Linked DNA regions of Mytilus edulis. The protein of the gene in region 3 purifies or fractionates together with the protein of the main gene of each other region. This does not show direct contact. Links are inferred from orthologs where the notes say so. Each region holds a gene or a part of one and is shown on either strand. Other genes may lie near its edges.

The links.
Region 1: the proteins of activating molecule in BECN1-regulated autophagy protein 1A-like (region 3) and serine/threonine-protein kinase Nek9-like purify together in Homo sapiens (affinity purification with mass spectrometry; 3 studies listed by BioGRID and IntAct, with this or other methods). This does not show direct contact. The link is inferred for Mytilus edulis from reciprocal best matches to the Homo sapiens genes AMBRA1 and NEK9.
Region 2: the proteins of activating molecule in BECN1-regulated autophagy protein 1A-like (region 3) and heat shock protein 60A-like purify together in Homo sapiens (affinity purification with mass spectrometry, with the first as the bait; 3 studies listed by BioGRID). This does not show direct contact. The link is inferred for Mytilus edulis from reciprocal best matches to the Homo sapiens genes AMBRA1 and HSPD1.

Annotation. Positions count from the first base shown.
Region 1 is NC_092346.1:18,565,343-18,571,279, reverse strand, and holds the start of serine/threonine-protein kinase Nek9-like, read right to left. Parts: upstream 3,698-5,937; 5' UTR 3,683-3,697; coding exon 3,551-3,682; intron 1-3,550.
Region 2 is NC_092345.1:91,936,437-91,942,373, forward strand, and holds the start of heat shock protein 60A-like, read right to left. Parts: upstream 3,295-5,937; 5' UTR 2,886-3,294; intron 1,901-2,885; 5' UTR 1,888-1,900; coding exon 1,720-1,887; intron 402-1,719; coding exon 149-401; intron 1-148. Other genes in the region: 10 kDa heat shock protein, mitochondrial-like, read left to right, coding at 3,486-3,488. UniProt on the Homo sapiens protein: Chaperonin implicated in mitochondrial protein import and macromolecular assembly. Together with Hsp10, facilitates the correct folding of imported proteins.
Region 3 is NC_092353.1:44,532,300-44,538,236, reverse strand, and holds the start of activating molecule in BECN1-regulated autophagy protein 1A-like, read right to left. Parts: upstream 3,480-5,937; 5' UTR 3,387-3,479; intron 1-3,386. UniProt on the Homo sapiens protein: Substrate-recognition component of a DCX (DDB1-CUL4-X-box) E3 ubiquitin-protein ligase complex involved in cell cycle control and autophagy.

The DNA.
Region 1 (5,937 bases), on a different chromosome or scaffold from region 3:
ATTCATTTTCACAACTATATTTATGATATTCGAAAACATACAATTTTTAAATGATTTGTTTATTATAAATAATACATGTATAGTCAAGTGATTATGTACCATTTAATCAGTATTAATCATCATCATCTTCTGCAGAAAATGAATCATTCCCAACTGCATATAAATGTATTGCATACATACATAGTATTAAAGTTTGGTTGTAACTCGTCTCTTTTAAAAGTATTGAGAAACATATTTTGCCGAGCGGAGCGTGTCAATTTTTTTTTTATATAGATTTTGGAGCAGCTGGGAGACATTTCAAGTATATTTAAATAATATTTATACTTTTATTATTAAAAGAATTGGGAAGTGTTTCCCGATTTTTTTGGTGAAAAAGATGAATTTATGAAGAATCTGGTGCCATCTCATACTTTAGATTAGACCTGCTGAGTTATTTATTTTCAATACATTGCAAGTCAGGTAATTTATTTTCAAACTACCACAGAACAAACCATTTATTTTTGTGATTATCATGGCTGAGTTATTTATTTTCAAAATCCTCAACACATTGTTTGTTTCAAAAATGCAACCATAAATCAAAATAATAATTGAAAAACACGAAATTTTTTATATAAAATATAAAAAGCAATTTTTTTTTTACTGGAATTACTTTTGTCAACATTGCATGCACTGTCATGACTGTAAACTGATCTATACAAAAACTTTAATATGTATTTGGAGCCATAAACATAAAAAGAAGGAACAAATCATAAAGCCCCACTAGTAATGAACAAAATCAATAGGAACAAATTGACCATTGACTTGGGATGAATACACCTTATCGCTATTTGTGAAATTGTCCACCAATACTGGACATCGCACAGGTTCCCGTAAAATTTTGACGTCATAATACAAAATATCTGATGCCACAATGGAAAAGTGATTGTTGTATGACATCAAAAGTTCAAGCAGTACAGATTCTCAGGTCAACTTATAATAGCGATAAGGTATACATTGTACGATTTAGGATGTGACTGCCACACGTAGTCAATAATACCATCATGCAAGACCAGCATCAGGAAAGAGTCCTTCTTTCCACGTACAATAAGTTCTATCCAGGTACAATAAGAGATTGGAACACTTTGCCTGCCTTGGTGACAGCTGCTGACTCATTCAAGGGCCTATTGCATGCACATTAAATTTCAAGTCCCATGTTTTTATTTGCACCATGTATAAATGTTATACATACAGCACAAAATTTTTCATTTTTGTTTAAATTATTTTTGGACTTGTTAAGTTTGCAAGCGCACACCAAACAGTGACATAATAGTCAACTCATGACGGTGGTCACTTAGTGGTAGAAGTAGAAGTCCTAGAAAAGATGTACATAGGACAACATCATCAATACTTTTTTTAAATAGTGTCGTCCATCCTTTTTTAAGATTTAATAAATTTTATTTATAAGGTCTGGCAGTGACAGTATGGCTGATATACATGTATCTTATGGGAGATTAGGAATCCGAGTACATGAACATGTACATAATGTATGGCCATCACATCGAAATGATCGACACATGTCGAAATCAATGAACAGGTGTGGAAAGAAACTACCCCTCCTTTAGAATCAGAGTAAGAATCAATCTAATTGTATGCTGTGATGCTTTATAGTAATTTTTTTACAGGGGAGGTGTCATTATGCAGTTCTGAAGAGATGTGGGGTGGTTGTCAACATAAATCATAAACACCAGTTTCAAACCCCTAGACTAATGGCGTAATGCAACTATAATTACTGATCATGCAAACAAATTGAGATATCTACTCAGTGAGCAAAAATCTACTATATTAGTATATAACGATAAATTGCCAAAATCTTGGTCTTTGAATGGAAAATCAGTAACACTTTCTGAATCTGCAGTTCACCTTGGAATAGATAGAAATATAACTAAAAATGCTGGGGTTAAAGAAGTTGTGAACAAGCGTATTACTACGGCAAGGAAAACTGTATACTCTCTTATGGGTGCTGGGTTACACGGTTTGAATGGAGTAAATCCAAAAGTTTCTGTACACTTGATTCAAATATATGTTGTACCTAGACTACTATATGGTTTAGATGTCATATCGCTCTCAAATTCAGATATACAAAAGATGGAACTATTCTTTAGACAATTATTAAAGCAAATTCAGCACTTGCCTAAACGCACATCAATAGCTGCAACTTTACTATTATTAGGGCGTATTCCTATAGAGGGAGAAATTCATAAGAAAATTCTGAAAACATTTGGAAATATAATTAGAAATGATAAATCTGTTGAAAGAGAAATTGCTTTTAGACAATTGGCTATGAAAGATGAAAAATCTGAAAGTTGGTTTACAAAACTACACAATTTAACTTTAATTTATGGATTGCCATCGCCTTATGATATTATTGAGAATCCACCATCAAAAATAAGCTGGAATAGACTTGTGAATAACTGTATAAATAATCATTTTTTACAAAATTTAAAGAAGGAAGCTAAAGAAAAGTCATCCTTGAAATATATTAATTTTAATGATTCCAACATAGGAACTGTGCATAATATTTGGAAAAGCAGTGGGACTGACCCGTACTCTGTTAATATGGCTGCAATTAAAGTTAAAATTGCCACCGGAATAATGATTCTTCAGTATCAGAGGTCTAGATTTTCAAAAAACTGTATCTCAGCAATCTGTCCATTATGTAACATTGAACCAGAAGATATGACTCACTTTATACTTAAATGTGAAAAACTGTCAAGCATAAGAAATCGCTTTATGCAAGAGTTGAAATCTCTTCTCGTAGATTGTAATAAGCCACCTTTGCTAATTCAAGAACTACTTGATGACAAGGAGAATCTTTTACATCTAATTATAGACTGTACATCATATCATTTTCTTACCTACAAGGAACAGGTCCGTATAGAGACATTAACCAGAGGTCTGTGTTACAAACTATATCACAAACGTTTACTTTTAATGTCTGAGTAAATTTGATTCGCATTTACTGGATTGTGTCAGGATTTATTCTGCAATATTGAGAGATGGATAGTGTTTGAACTGAAAACTCGTATCCAAGGCTTGTAAAATATCAAGTGGTTTTAGATTTTAAATATTTTATTAGCGTGTTTTATATGGAATAATTGCTTACCAAATGAACAGTGAAACGTTTTTTAGATTTTAAAGATACCAAGGACAGTGTTTTGAACAGTAAATGCTATTGCGAGGGCAGGAGTGTTTTAATTATAGACTATAACACTACGTTATATGGAGATATAATTGTGATCCAGCTATGAACGATTGGACTGAGTATATATATATATATAGTTAACTACGTCTACATGGTGATGGATTAGTCCGCATGCTGTATATATGTTACTGTTATAAAAATTATTATGATAACTACCTACGTATACTGATTTTATGAGTGCCCCGTGTGTAAGGGTTAGGGTGCAAATAAGGGTGCAAATTGGAATTACGCTATAGAAGCGAAGCTCCTGCTAGAGGAGGAAGATAAAGACTAGGTAACAGGTAACAGGTAACAATGCATGACATATACTTCTGTTTTTCTGTACAAATTTGCTTCTCCAAAAGCACCACGTCCAAGAACTTTCACATAGATATATGAAGCTTCTAATGCACCGTCTTGATTTCTTATTTCAGAATCGACTTCTTGGCCATCGGTCGCCATTGTAAACAATCTAAGGGAGACTACTCAATTGGGTAAATTTTTTTTTACCACAAAACAACACATTTTCACAAAATACAGGGAAGGTCTAAAATAAGTGGCAAATGTTGATTACAGAATATCATACCGATGTCTAAATATCATACGAATCTGGGAAATAAAGTCATAGTAGAATCAAATCATATCAACTATTTCATTATTCCAATCAGGGTCCAACAGGGTCATGTACAATTAACAATTATCATGATAATATAGGCAACAAATAGAGACATTGCCGACGGTACAGTATATAACCATCTATATATCTGGATGATATAACGTTCTCTCATATTTGGCAATTCGGTGCATGCTTATTGGATGCAGTGCTAGCAGTGATTTCCTTAAAATAAGTTTATATATTTAAAATTGGTTAAAACAAATACTGATAAATATAAACCAATTCAAGTACACCTTCTAGGGTGCACTCGACTTTAGTGACTCAGCACTTTTTTTGGATTTTATAGGTTGTTTAAAACTTTTTGTATACAATAAACGCTAGCACATCATAGAAAAATAAGTGAGCGATCTATGTTTAAAATTTTAAAACTTAAAGGGGCACTAGCTACGAGATATATAAAAAATCAAAAGCTACATCTTATTGAGACCATGTCCTGTAAATTGTTTAATTTATACTTTTGATAGTTTGGAAAAAATGTTTTACATTGTTATTTTAATAAAATATGAGAATTTGAGTCAAATTGGTGAACATGAATTTGGCAGCTAGTGCCCCTTTAAATCTCGGTTTTAAAGTCTGTGGGTTTCTACAAAAATCTGGTTTTATTTGCCACAAAATCCCCCTTTTCTATCAAATGCAATAAAACAATAAATAATAATGCTGAGCACGAAGTTTCCCCTTGGTAGATGTACAAAATGGCCCATCTGTATTATTCATTTTCTCTGCTGTTTTGATACAATTGTAGTTTGAAAATTTCGTAATTCAATGGCTACAGAAGGGGTCATTCACCTTAACCAAACCAAATTGAGAGCTGCTGAAAGTGAAGATATCTGAGAATTTACATATCATAGAAGTATCACCAGTACATCAGGAGGGACAGATGAAGAAATCCAACCAAGAAAAAGAAAAGCACAACAAGCCTTTGCTATCCTTAAACAGTCTGGAGGAGTAAAGCACGCAGAACAAACACAAAAATCAAGATCTACAACTCAAATGCAAAATCTACTCTTTTGGTCAGAAACTTGGAGACTAATAGCGACGTCTACAAAACAACACAGGTTTCCATGAACAGGTGTTTAAGAAACATTATTGGAATCAAGTGGCAAAATACCATTAGCAACAAAGAATTATAGAAAAAGGCAAGACAAAAACAAATAGAAAGAACGATTACAACATAAGGAAGGAAATGGAATGGACACAGGTTACTTAAAAACAACACAAAAGTTACTAGACAGGCGCTAGATTAGAATCCCCAGGGCAAAAGAGGGCGACCAAAGAAACACCAAGCGCGGAGATCTAACATATGATTTACAAAACATTTGGAAAAACATGGGGGAAAGCAAAGAAACTAGCCGAGCAGACAGGAAGAGACGGAGAGCCACTGTGGTTGCGCCCTATGTTCTCCATGGGATGTAAGAAGATTATTCAAGTCAAGTAAGTCATGTGATTTAATTTTACAATTCTAACAATTAATAGTTACCTTCTATTCACATAAAATGTGATGTTCATACTGTTTAATTCATCCAAATGAGTCATTTGTAGAATATTTCTCTGTTGCATCATTCCCAAGGTTCTTTTAATTCAGCAAAATGAATTATGGTAAATTATCCAACAAAAGAAAAAGGTTATGTGAATAGCACTTCTGGCACAATATGGTCTATAATATAAACTTTATCATAAAACACCAAAAAGGTCATAATTTGGTTTATAAATGGCTGTATTTCAAAATTCTTAATGTTAAACAATCAGTTCTTTAATTTCATTAAAGTACATAATATTCCCGAAAGTAAGCTCATGATGAAGTTTTATGTCAAAATAGTATGATGTTTCAGACCTAAAGCTTTAGGAAAACCTTGGTCGCCAAACCTTGGTAATCAAAAGATTTCAACATATGGATCGTGGATGGCGGCCAAGGTTGATTATGCCAAAAACAAATTAAAATTGTGGAAAAAATTACCATATTTCACGTTAAACTACAATAATGTTCATTAAAGGGGTCATAGTTACATGAATTTTAAAGGAAGGTGCCAAAAATGTAGTATTA
Region 2 (5,937 bases), on a different chromosome or scaffold from region 3:
GATTTTACTGGGACTGACCAAATGTTGATTTGGCCAAAGTTGTCAACACAATCATGATCAACTATATAATGGATCAAAAATCACAATATTCAAATGAAATGATCAATATGGTTACTTAACCTTCCTATACATTTAATAAATAATCTACCTCGTCTTATTTCAATTGGATTTGCTCCTTTACTGATCTTTTCAAACCCTTCCTTGGCTATAGATCTGGCCAGTACAGTTGCTGTGGTAGTTCCATCTCCAGCCTCTTCATTGGTGTTGTTAGCCACATCTTGTACCAGTTTAGCCCCTATGTTCTGATACTTGTCCTTTAGTTCAATAGATTTGGCAACTGTAACTCCGTCTTTGGTTATTTTTGGAGACCCCCAACTTTGTTCAATGATTACATTTCGACCCTGAAATAAAGGTTTCAAAAATTAAAGAACCTTAGTGAGCGTGCCCACATACCCCACATTGTCACTGGAAAAATAAAATAACTAAGAAAAAAAAATTGAATCACAATTTCCTGTCAATATGCACATCTACATAATGTGTCCTTATTATCTACAAAGTTTCATTAAATTCAATTGTGTGGTTTCAAAGGAGTTGCGATGACAAACTGTTGCAGAAGTATCTTGAAGCAAATAAGTTCAAAGGGGCAAAACTCCTAGAAAAAAATTGAATCGTAATTTCCTGTCGATATGCATATCTGCATAGTATGTCCTTATTATCTACAAAGGTTTCATGAAATTCTGTTGTGTGGTCTCGGAGGAGTTGCGATGACAAACTGTTACAGTAGTATCTTGAAGCAAATAAGTTCAAAGGGGCATAACTCCTAGAAAAAAAAATTGAATCGTAATTTCCTGTCGATATGAATATCTGCATAGTATGTCCTTATTATCTACAAAGGTTTCATGTAATTCTGTTGTGTGGTTTGAGAGGAGTTGCAATGACAAGAAACAGGACTGACAGACTGGGCAAAAAATGTTATAACATGCGCAGGAATTTGCGTGGGGTATAATAAAGAAGAAAAACAGTGTGCTTGTTAATGGTACACCAACTAACCTTGATTTGCAGACTGACCGACTTTTTGGTTTTTAAGATACATGTACCAGAATTTGAAATGAACTAAAAATTTCCATTTTATGGGATACTCCCAAATGGATGGTCTGGTTTAAAGATTCATAAGGTGATTGAGCTGCTGATCATTTATACCACATCAGAGTTGCTGCTATCTGTTTAGTTTTTGACTAGTCAAAACTGCATTTGTATATGATCAAGATTCTACATGTATATTTTGCAACTTAAGATACTTTGTCTTATGGAATATCCAGGTAATGATTAGTTAAATTTGAGCCAGTAAATTCAGGAAAAATTTAACATTGATGACAAAATGAGTTTAATATATTTTTGAAAAGAAATTACTCCTATAAGAGGTCTTTAGACAATTTCTGTCAAGTTCAACTTATTAGTAGATCTTATTGCTCTACAGTTTTATTGTTTAAAATTTCTCTCTATCTATTAGTTTTAAAAATAATGATAAACAAAAACTGAAATTTGCAAAACCTGATATTTCAGGGGCAATAACTGTGTAGTCTGACTTTCTGAAAATTCCTCTGATGTTGGACATAGACCTGTTGATCATTTTCATCCAGGCAGATCTGCTTTAGCTGCTAAAATAGTCACTTTACCATTTGATTCAACAAATTTGAACCCTAAATATAATGAATATACCTTTGGTCCCATTGTAACAGCAACAGCATCTGCCAACAAATCAACACCTTGAAGCATCATAGCTCTTGCATCTGCTCCAAACTTTATCTCTTTGGCATAAGTTCTGACAAGTGCAGGAGACACTCTCCTTGAAAGGGCAGGGCGAAGAATACTTGGTAATCGGTACATCTTCAACTCCTATCTGCAATTGAGAATTTGACCTTGACCTTAAACCTTGTTGCCTCAAATCAAATATGTATATTTCTTTTTCATCCACAAATGCATGATCAAATCAAGTTTGGTATAAGGTGAACAAATGGCTCAAAAGATATTCAGAAAAATTATGCCCACATTCCAGACTATCAATAGCTTCTGTGATCTGGAGCTTTGACCCCAAAAATCATGACTATTGGACTATTCATCTTTCCATTTGGGGGCGGGACTCAATCAAAGTAAGGCATAAGGTGGACCTTAAATTCTAAAGGTTGAAATCAGAATATCAAAATGTATACCAAATTTCCAGCTACCAATAGCTGTAAATTGAGACCTTGACCTCTAAAATTGAGTTATTCCTATTTCCTTGAACACCAATATTAACCCATCTTCACAGATTTATTTTATGGCTCAATTTCTTTTCTTCTTAAAAAACATTGATTACTGTAAAATTTCAAAGGTAAAAACTCTTGCACCGATCTTCATTGCTGAAAAGAAATCTAAGATACATGTACATGTTCATTTTTATGCAACTTTAATATTGATTACTTATTAAGTAACTACAAATGACGTCATGGCCATATCAAGTCTTAATTGAAATGGGTGGGATGCACCCAAATACACCTTATCTTTTTACTATGAACATTCCCGACGGTCAGTATTTAGAATGAATAGTAATCATTTTGTCTGATGAAATAACGTCTCCCTTTCCAGAACATGGTTCATTCAGTTAATTGACCATATAAAACGTTAATAACACTGACTTTAGACTTGTGATGTAGCATGTATGCAATAATAGTAATTGAATTTCAGTTTAACGCAAAGCCGACATACAGGACAAACAGTAGACAAAGATGCATGCTCGACGTTGTCGTTGACCCACGTGGTTGTAGTCGGACTTTTAAGTTATTACGCAATTAAATTCAACCACTTGCTGCTTTTGATATAAATTTGTATGCAATAATAAGGTTTACCTTAATTAAATATTCTTTTAGTGTGTAATGACTTTTCTGTGTATTTAAATGCCTTGTCCTTCAAATACTGCTCTGCTGGATCGCATGTATGCTGAGGCAGTGTGGCTGATGGTAACCGGAACTTGCGAATATATTTCTAGCATGCGTAAGGGATACAACGGGCCCTTCAGCAGGTATATTTGAATTTATTCTTCAACAAGTTAAGACAACATATGGCTCATTAAGAAAAAAAAATAAAGGAAATAATGAACTGGTCACAAATTAATTTCCAATGTCCAACTTGAATTATGTATGTTTCCCTAAAGCCGTGAAAATGGTTGTTATTTAGCGTATTATTCTAATACCTGCCGATTGCAGGGCACATGCCTTTATATCTCGGGACCTTTCAATCTTTTTCTGGGTTACATTTGATAAAACCAGAGAATGTCGATTAGAGAGTAACTGGCCCAACACGTGCTTCCGGTATTCTGGATGATTCTGTAGCCGGCACATTTACATCAGTTGACCTTGATAGTTTTCTGTTGCGTAAACGGACGAAGCATTGACAGTTGAAAAAGATTTAACTGGACTAGTCATTTTAGTTGCAACTATCTAAACACAATGGTAAGATCTGGTGTAGTCATTTGGAAAATGTTTTTTTTTGTTATTTAGAATCTATTGCAGTATTGGGTGTGGGAGAAATCGTTTCACATGTCATTTGTATATAATTACATACAAGACAGGTGTGACATGTGAAGAGGCTAAAAACCTAATGTTAACTTTTAAGGGCACATATGCAATAAAAAATAAAATAATGTGAAAGATAACAATAATTTGAATAAATGATTAATCACAATAATTGAATGTCATAGTCAATTATAGCTGCGAAAACGTAGTATTGTCCTTTTTTTTTTTGCCATGGTCCGCAAATATCAAAAATCATCAAAAGGATCTTAAGAGCTACGTTTTCGCAGCTAAGTCAATTAATATATATATATATATAATACTCTTATGGAAAAACTGGGCTGTTATATTTGTGACTGTTTTGAATTAAGGAGATCAGGTATGAACACTGACACTAAGTCAAGTAAATAATTTGAGAATTAATACATATACATGTATAATGTAATTTTATTATTCTTTTATTCACAATATATACAATGTATGTGGTTTTTAGCTTGATTCTGACCAATGCTTATATTCCAAATATATATGTATATGCCTCTATTGTTGTTGTTACCAATTATGTAAATCAATTGTATCTGATTTTATGATCTTTATGGGCCCTGTAATTTGGGAAATAAAAATATTCTATTCTATTCTATTCTATTCTATATAATAAGGATTTTTACCAAACTGGCAAACATTTGAAACAATAATTTTAAAGGAATTGTTTAATATTCATATGCAAAAGTGATTTAAATATTGGCCTCACTTTCAGGGCCGCAGTGGTGTAAGTATCCCAGACTGACCACCACAAATTAGCATAAAAGTGTTGAAAGTGGCATTAGCCTTAAACGTATTTACACTTTTGGTATTTAGCTGAATCTTGCCTCCGAATGACCTTAGATCTACTCCGAATCACCTTTTGACGTCAAGCAACAATCACTTTTAAATTGTGATGTCAAATATTTTAAATTATGAGGCCACCCTTAAAAAATTGTTTGTTTGGCATTGCCGACCCACACTATCAGCAGGTGGGTAGGTAGGTAGGGATTTTTTTTTTTTTTTTTTACATTCAAAAGCTTTATACATGTAAATCATGAAGTCTCTAGACCAATGTTGTCTAAAGCATTGCAGCATTGTTGTGTGTACATGCTGGTGGATTCTTTGAAAGGGGTCAACCGTCAATGTCACATTCTATATCATATGGATAATTTCATGCAAGAAAGTCAGTTTTATTGGCAGAGTAAATCAAAGTACCCAGAAAAAAACACAGAACTGAGGCAGGAAACTGACAAATTAACCATATAAGATGTATGACATGAAAATTGAACGTTTATTGTGGGACTGCCCATTGAACAGAGGCCTGATGTCACATCTTGAAGTTGTGGTCACAGTTTGGTAAAATTACCATAAGTTAAATGGCTCAACCACTACGGCTCCTTGTACAAATGGACAAAGATTTAAAACTTTGATTGTTTGCCTTGGTTTTATAAACATCACTTTCTACACCATATGGGTAATTTCATGGCAGTCAGTTTTAGTGGCGTACTAAACCGTAGTACTTGAAGGAAAACGCCAACCTGCGGTAGGAAACTGACTAACCTTAACACATATGACATGAAAATCAAACCTTAATTTTGCAACTGCCCAACTAGGGCTCAAACCAATACTTAGAGGCTAGTAATCATACATGTAAGGTGTGACAAACTACCATACAAACACGCCTACTGCCCCTGATAAGTTTTGAGGATAAAGGATCTGTACCAAATTAGGATAGCAAAATATTAAAAATTTGAAAGGTTGGCACAAATAGACATGGTGTTTATACTAATATACTTAAGTGCAAGGTTTATCAGGGCTAGGTTTAAAACGTATGATAAATTCAAAATGGAAATATGCAGCAGGACAGACAATTTTTGCAGATAAATAAATTATGGGTTGTAATGCTTGTTTGATTAACAGAAATCTGGACATGCATTACATGAATACAGATAAATTAATGAGCCCTTAGAATTGTGGAAAAGGAGGGGATTTTATTCATCACTAGTACACAAGATACGTTTATAAATATGTTTCTGTCAGTATCTTTTATGTTTTAAGAATTATCTTATTCATGTTAAGAAGAAAAGGGGGGGAAGTACTTCAATTGACACAAGATGCTAGTCTTTAAAATATGTATGTTTTGTACCAGGCTAGCATCTACTGGTACAAAACTACTATAACCTGTAAATCTGGACCATTTTGGTCTTTAAGATTTGGTGATTACAGCATGCATAATTATCTTGAATGCATCATTGTGGTTCTGACTATTGTGGCGGAGAGCCAGTTTTTAAAACAACATTACTTCCCTTGAAAATGGACTGTTGTGAAATTAACATTTAAATATTACTGTTGATATAAATTATTG
Region 3 (5,937 bases):
TTTGGTGATGGTGATGTGTTTGTACATCTTACTTTACTAAACAGTCTTGCTGCTTACAATTATCTCTATCTATAATAAACTTGGCCCAGTAGTTTCAGCCATATTTATTTGGAATAAGTAATATTTATAAAAAAAATATGAATTCTTGTCGCTTAAATAATTCTTCTTGTCGCTTATTAGTGAGACCGAAAAATATGAAGATGTTTCAATTATGATACATGTACATGACATGTAGAATTCATAGGGCCATTTTTCTCTTTCACAGATAAAATAAGGCTTCATAAAAAGGGAAATATTTAATTGGGATCTCCTGTAGTTGGTGATCGCAATACTGGTATACCAGTATTGTCCACAATACTGGTATACAAATTTTGTACCAGTATTGTAACTTTTTTTTTTAAAAACAACAATACTGGTACATAACTGATATACCAGTATTGTAGTTGTATTGTTGATTATATTTTAAGATCTATAATGAAAAATGAATTTTAAACAAAATTAAATATTGAAGATCAAAGTGAGATTAAATGAAGCCAAGCAGATTATAGGGGATAATTGTGAAATCAATTAACAACCAGTTAAAAATAATTACTATACTTATACAAAAAGATTCTTGTAATTATCTCATATTATTCAAACAATTGTTAATTATGTAAAATAATTGCTAATAATTTTATCATATTTCTATTTTTAAATTTATTAAATTCACTTTAGATAAAATAAAAATTTTATTATCTGAGTTATTAATAAATTCAAGCCAATTATTACATTCTAACAAATGGAAGTTTTTAACAACCTTGACTGGCCATACAGCCCTTGCATGGTCGGTATTACATTCTGACACTGTAAATTTAGCATACATTGTACAAATGTTGTATATACATGATATACTAAGTAAGATCATATGCATTTGTTGGTCTTTATTTTCTCATCTTTCACAATAAAAGATATCAATATCCCTTAAACATAAAAAGTTGCATAATAAAGGAACCTGACTATAATCAAATTAACTAGTTTGTCTATATGATTGTTAAGGGTAGTTTAAGTACCGTAGTCACTTCAGAACCATATATATGGACAATACAATTTGTAACAGATATATCTTCTGGTACAAATACTTATACATTTTTGTGAGACAAGCACTCCGACAGTAAGAGAGCTGTACAGGTGCTATCTGAAAAAACTTTTAATCTAGTAAGCGTAAAAGAAAGTCCACAGAGACTGAATACCTAAATATCAATATAGGAAGTGTGGAGGGAGGATTTGCAGAAATACCATCTTAATAAGATATAGACACTAAAATATACTATGAGACTTAGGCCAGAATTTTTTAATTTGTTGGTTTACGGATCCGCCGATCCGATTTTGCCGATTTCCAGAATAAAAATAAAATTCACTTTTCATGCTTTTTTATTCCCGCCGACCGTAACAAATGCATTATCCCTAAAAAATAATTAAAATACTCGTTTTTTTTTTTTATGAAATGAAATGCATTAATCACTATCAAAATTGATAACACTTTCTGTAGTGAAAAAAATAAAGTCTTCCAGTTTACGTTTCTAAAAATAGACAAATCAATTATAACTAACTGACCTTGAAATGTGGTTTGCGCAAATAATTTTGCGAAACGAAACCTGTGTTTAAAACCAATTACAAAATCAATTTGTTTACTGTACTTGTCATCAGTCCGTAAGATGCATCATCTGATAGAAATAGACTTGTCCAAATGTGGACAGGTAGAAGACGTCAAGTTAGTTAAAGTACTAAATATTAACAAATCATTTGAAATTTTCTCGCTTCATAGATCATAAAAAAATATCGTCCATTTGGCCAAAAAAACGGGAATGCATGACAACAGATTAATCCGATATTCTCGTTTTTCCAGTGGACGAGTCCATTACGTTTGTTGACATGTGTGTTGAAACTTATTTTCGCACGACGTTTTTACATTTTTTCTTCTTTATCAGTTTTCGTGCTTGAATATCGTAATTCACCAAGCCCACCAAGTTATCGGGAATTGATTAAGAGCTACGCGAATCTGTTTTTCATGTCTGTGAAATGACGATATCCGTGCAGTCCCCGTCCACTTTTTGTGTACGGAAAATTATTAGAAAGTCATGCGATGTTTATGACAGCTGATTTCATCGAACTAAAATCTAAGAAATGATGACAAAATAGCATATTTTTTTCTTTTTTTTTTGCCGACTGACCGACCCGACTTTTTCATTGGTAAAATCCGTAAACCAACAAATTAAAAAAACCTGGCCTTAGAAAGAGAGAGCCGAAAGAAAACATAGAAGAAAGTAAAGAGTTTGTTAAAATGCTGAGACAGTACGGTTCCCTTAACATGCTTAAGCAATTTTAAGAAAAAAACATCAGAAAATTCAAAACTTTTTTTTATGACAAACGCAGTGTACCATCAATGGCATCATCAGTTAAACATACAATCATTCCTTATAAAATTGTCATGTCATATGTTAATTTCATTATGCATATATGTGACACCTTTGATAAAAGATTAATTACCTATATGTATTGTTTATTTAAGAAAAACACAATACTGGTACAATACTGGAATACAATACACCTTATCGCTAAACCCGGCTGACCCGGCCGCTTGAACTTTTGACGCATACACAGTCTTCACGCTGAGTGGCAGCCCAGGCTAGTAAAATTGCTCTTGGGCCTGTAAAAATCATATCTACAGGCCAACAAAGTCTAACTAAAAATTTTCAAAAATTGAGCTCCGGGCCTGTAGGTTTAAAAGTTCGTCGTGAAGACTGATACAACAATCACTTTTCCATTGTGGCGTCAGATATTTTGTTTTATGACGTCAAAATTTGACGGGAACCTGTGTGATATCCAGTAATGGCGGACAAATAGCGATAAGGTGTATACTGGTACAAACTTTTATTAAAATAGATATAGGAAGATGTGGTGTGAGTGCCAATGAGACAACTCTCCATACAAATAACAATTTAAAAAGTAAACCATTATAGGTTAAAGTACGGCCTTCAACACGGAGCCTTGGCTCACACCGAACAACAAGCTATAAAGGGCCCCAAAATTACTAGTGTAAAACCATTCAAACGGGAAAACCAACGGTCTAATCTATATAAACAAAACGAGAAACGAGAAACAGTATACCAGTATTGCGATCACCAACTACAGGAGATCTGATTTGTTTAAAATCTTAGGTGTAATAGTGTTCTTGGTAAAGTGTTTATGTAACCTGCACTCAAGCTGGCAGCAGATTTGAATCACTCAGTCATAACATATGATTTTAGAGTGAAAAAGATTGTATTTTCAAATAAGACGAGCTTCTAATCAAAACTTAAACTTATGAAATCTAAGAGGTTATAACTGGTTGTCAAAAGATAACTTACAATTAAGCAATATATCCCAGTAAAATGCGAAAGAACCCTAAATCATTCAATGAACTTTTCACCCCACCAAACAGGAAATGTTGATTTGGAAATGAAGAAAAGATAGATTTTTGTTTTTCAAAATGCTTGCTTTAAAAGTTATTGACAACAATATATCATTAAAGTCTTTTGGGTTCAGATCGAATAATTGATAATGAAGCATCATACTATTTATTTGATTTAAGACAGATAATCTCGAATTCATTGAACGTAACACCATCACAATAAAATCTGTCTTTTATGATGAATGTTTTGTAAATAACCACATGTGTTGTGAAAAATCCATGTGTTTTCTGATTATGGTATTTATAGGAAACTAAGTTGTAATAAAGGTATATAATCAATCATATAAAGTAAATCTGTTCTTGCAGTATCTACCTTTTACGTGAAAGAGTTTTAAAAAAATGTAAAAAATACACTTTGGAAGATTTTTTTTTTTAATTTACTACATGTACTAGCTGCGGAACCGTAGCTCTTAGGTCCTTATGCTATTTTGTGACTATTTGGGTCTATGGTCCGCAAATAGTAAAAAAATAGCATAAGGAAATAAGAGCTACGGTTCCGCAGCTATACATGTACATGCATGTGGGTTTGTGGTGGTTAAGAACGATGGCTACAGTGCTGAAGGTCCCGAGTTCGATTCTAACTCGAGATTTTGAATTTTTAGTACATCAGTAGGGTGATTTTCACCCTCCCACACACATATCTGGCATCCAGACCTGAGTTTAAACTAGATTGGATACTTCGGGGGCCTTGGTAGGTGAAAAGCTCATTAGAGCTTATGTTTGTATTGTTTGTCAATATGCCGAATCCAAATAAAGTTTTACTTACTTACTTAAAGTTGTTCCCAGCTTGACCTGGAGATAGATCTTCTGAAATCTTTTTGGGTTGTCTGTTCCCGCCGAGAAGCCTGGTGGTTCCCTCCGAGTATTTCAGCTTCCTCCACCATAATAACAGACTTCCCGGTGTCCTACATGCTCCCTTGGGTGGGGATTTTTTTGGTGGGGGGATAATATTGTAAAGGACACATCTCTATAATCCTTAGGGAGTGGACATGGATCCTCTGTACCCTTGCAGTCAATCAAGGCGTGCATCGAAGCTGGTGGAATCTCGAAGTACATACATACATACTGGGACTAGTCCTAGCTGCGAAAACGTAGCTCTATTGTCCTTTGAATTTTTTTTGGCCAAAAATCATCAAAGGGACCTTAAGATCTACGTTTTCGCTGCTAGGACTTGTCCAAGATATTTATCAATTCAATATTTTATTGGAAAGAGCACCATAGAGGCGTGATCCAAATACAGACAATTATAATATTAAAACAACATATAAATGAAATAAAGATGCATGTAACAACAAGTTATAAGACAATTCTATGTATGTCATTACATTATAAACTTATATTGATACCATAAACTTAAACATCAGTAAATGGTGTGGTTTAAATTTTTGTATTAGGTGGTTCAGGGGCTGTTACCTGCTATTGATCAAGACGACTTTTTAACTGTTTAAAATCAGTCAGTTATCACTGAAAAAATTTGAAAATTTGAAAATTATAAATCATACCTTTACTTTTATACCTTTATCTATGGGTCATTGAATAAGCTAGCTGCGAAAACGTAGCTCTTAAGGAGGCTCGAGGGTATAAAAATTTCAGAAAAAAATTAAACTTTTGTTTTTCATTACAAATTTTATTTATTACCTTTTGTAGTTGTTATTTTATCATATGGTACAAAAATCATTCAAAACAATTAATTAGTGTTGGCCCAAGATGACTTTTAAAATGTATACATACATCATTGGAAAAGTTCCAAATTATCTCCCTTTGGTGGAAAAATGCCATTTTTTGGCTTTAAAACTGAAATATCTTTTTTAACTCATCGGTGACCTATATTTTTTAATATAATTTCCATATAAGCTGTACTTAAACTAAATTATTGTAAAATTTGAGCGAGTTCTGTAATAAATTTCCTTTTTTTATTTCGATATTAACTTTATTTCTCCTATTACTTCAACAGAAAAAAAACACCTTTACAAAAATGTATGCTTCTTTCGAAGGCAGATTGTGAACAAAAATGAACGGTGACCCCACTTTTTTATTTAATTTTTCTATTAACTATAAGATAAAGTTCATTTATAGAAAAATATAGAGAAATCCTATATAAATGATTTAGACCCGCGAACCCCCTTAAAGTCCTTTTGATGATTTTGATATTTGCGAACCATAGACGGCTTCTACTGACCCCTCATCTTGGAATATTGTAATGCAATTTATTGTCTCATAGCAATATATTTATATAAATTAGACTTATTAAAAAAACCTTAACACAAACATATCAATTTATACTGGTTCCAATTTTCGCCATTTAATGCAGACTTAATTTTTTATATTTAAAATTATTCAAAGTATTTGCTATCACAGTTAACTCTGACAGGTTATTCCACTGATCCACAATCGAAAAACAAGTGAGAAACAATACTAGGTGCTTTGATATTCCCACCAGTAAAACA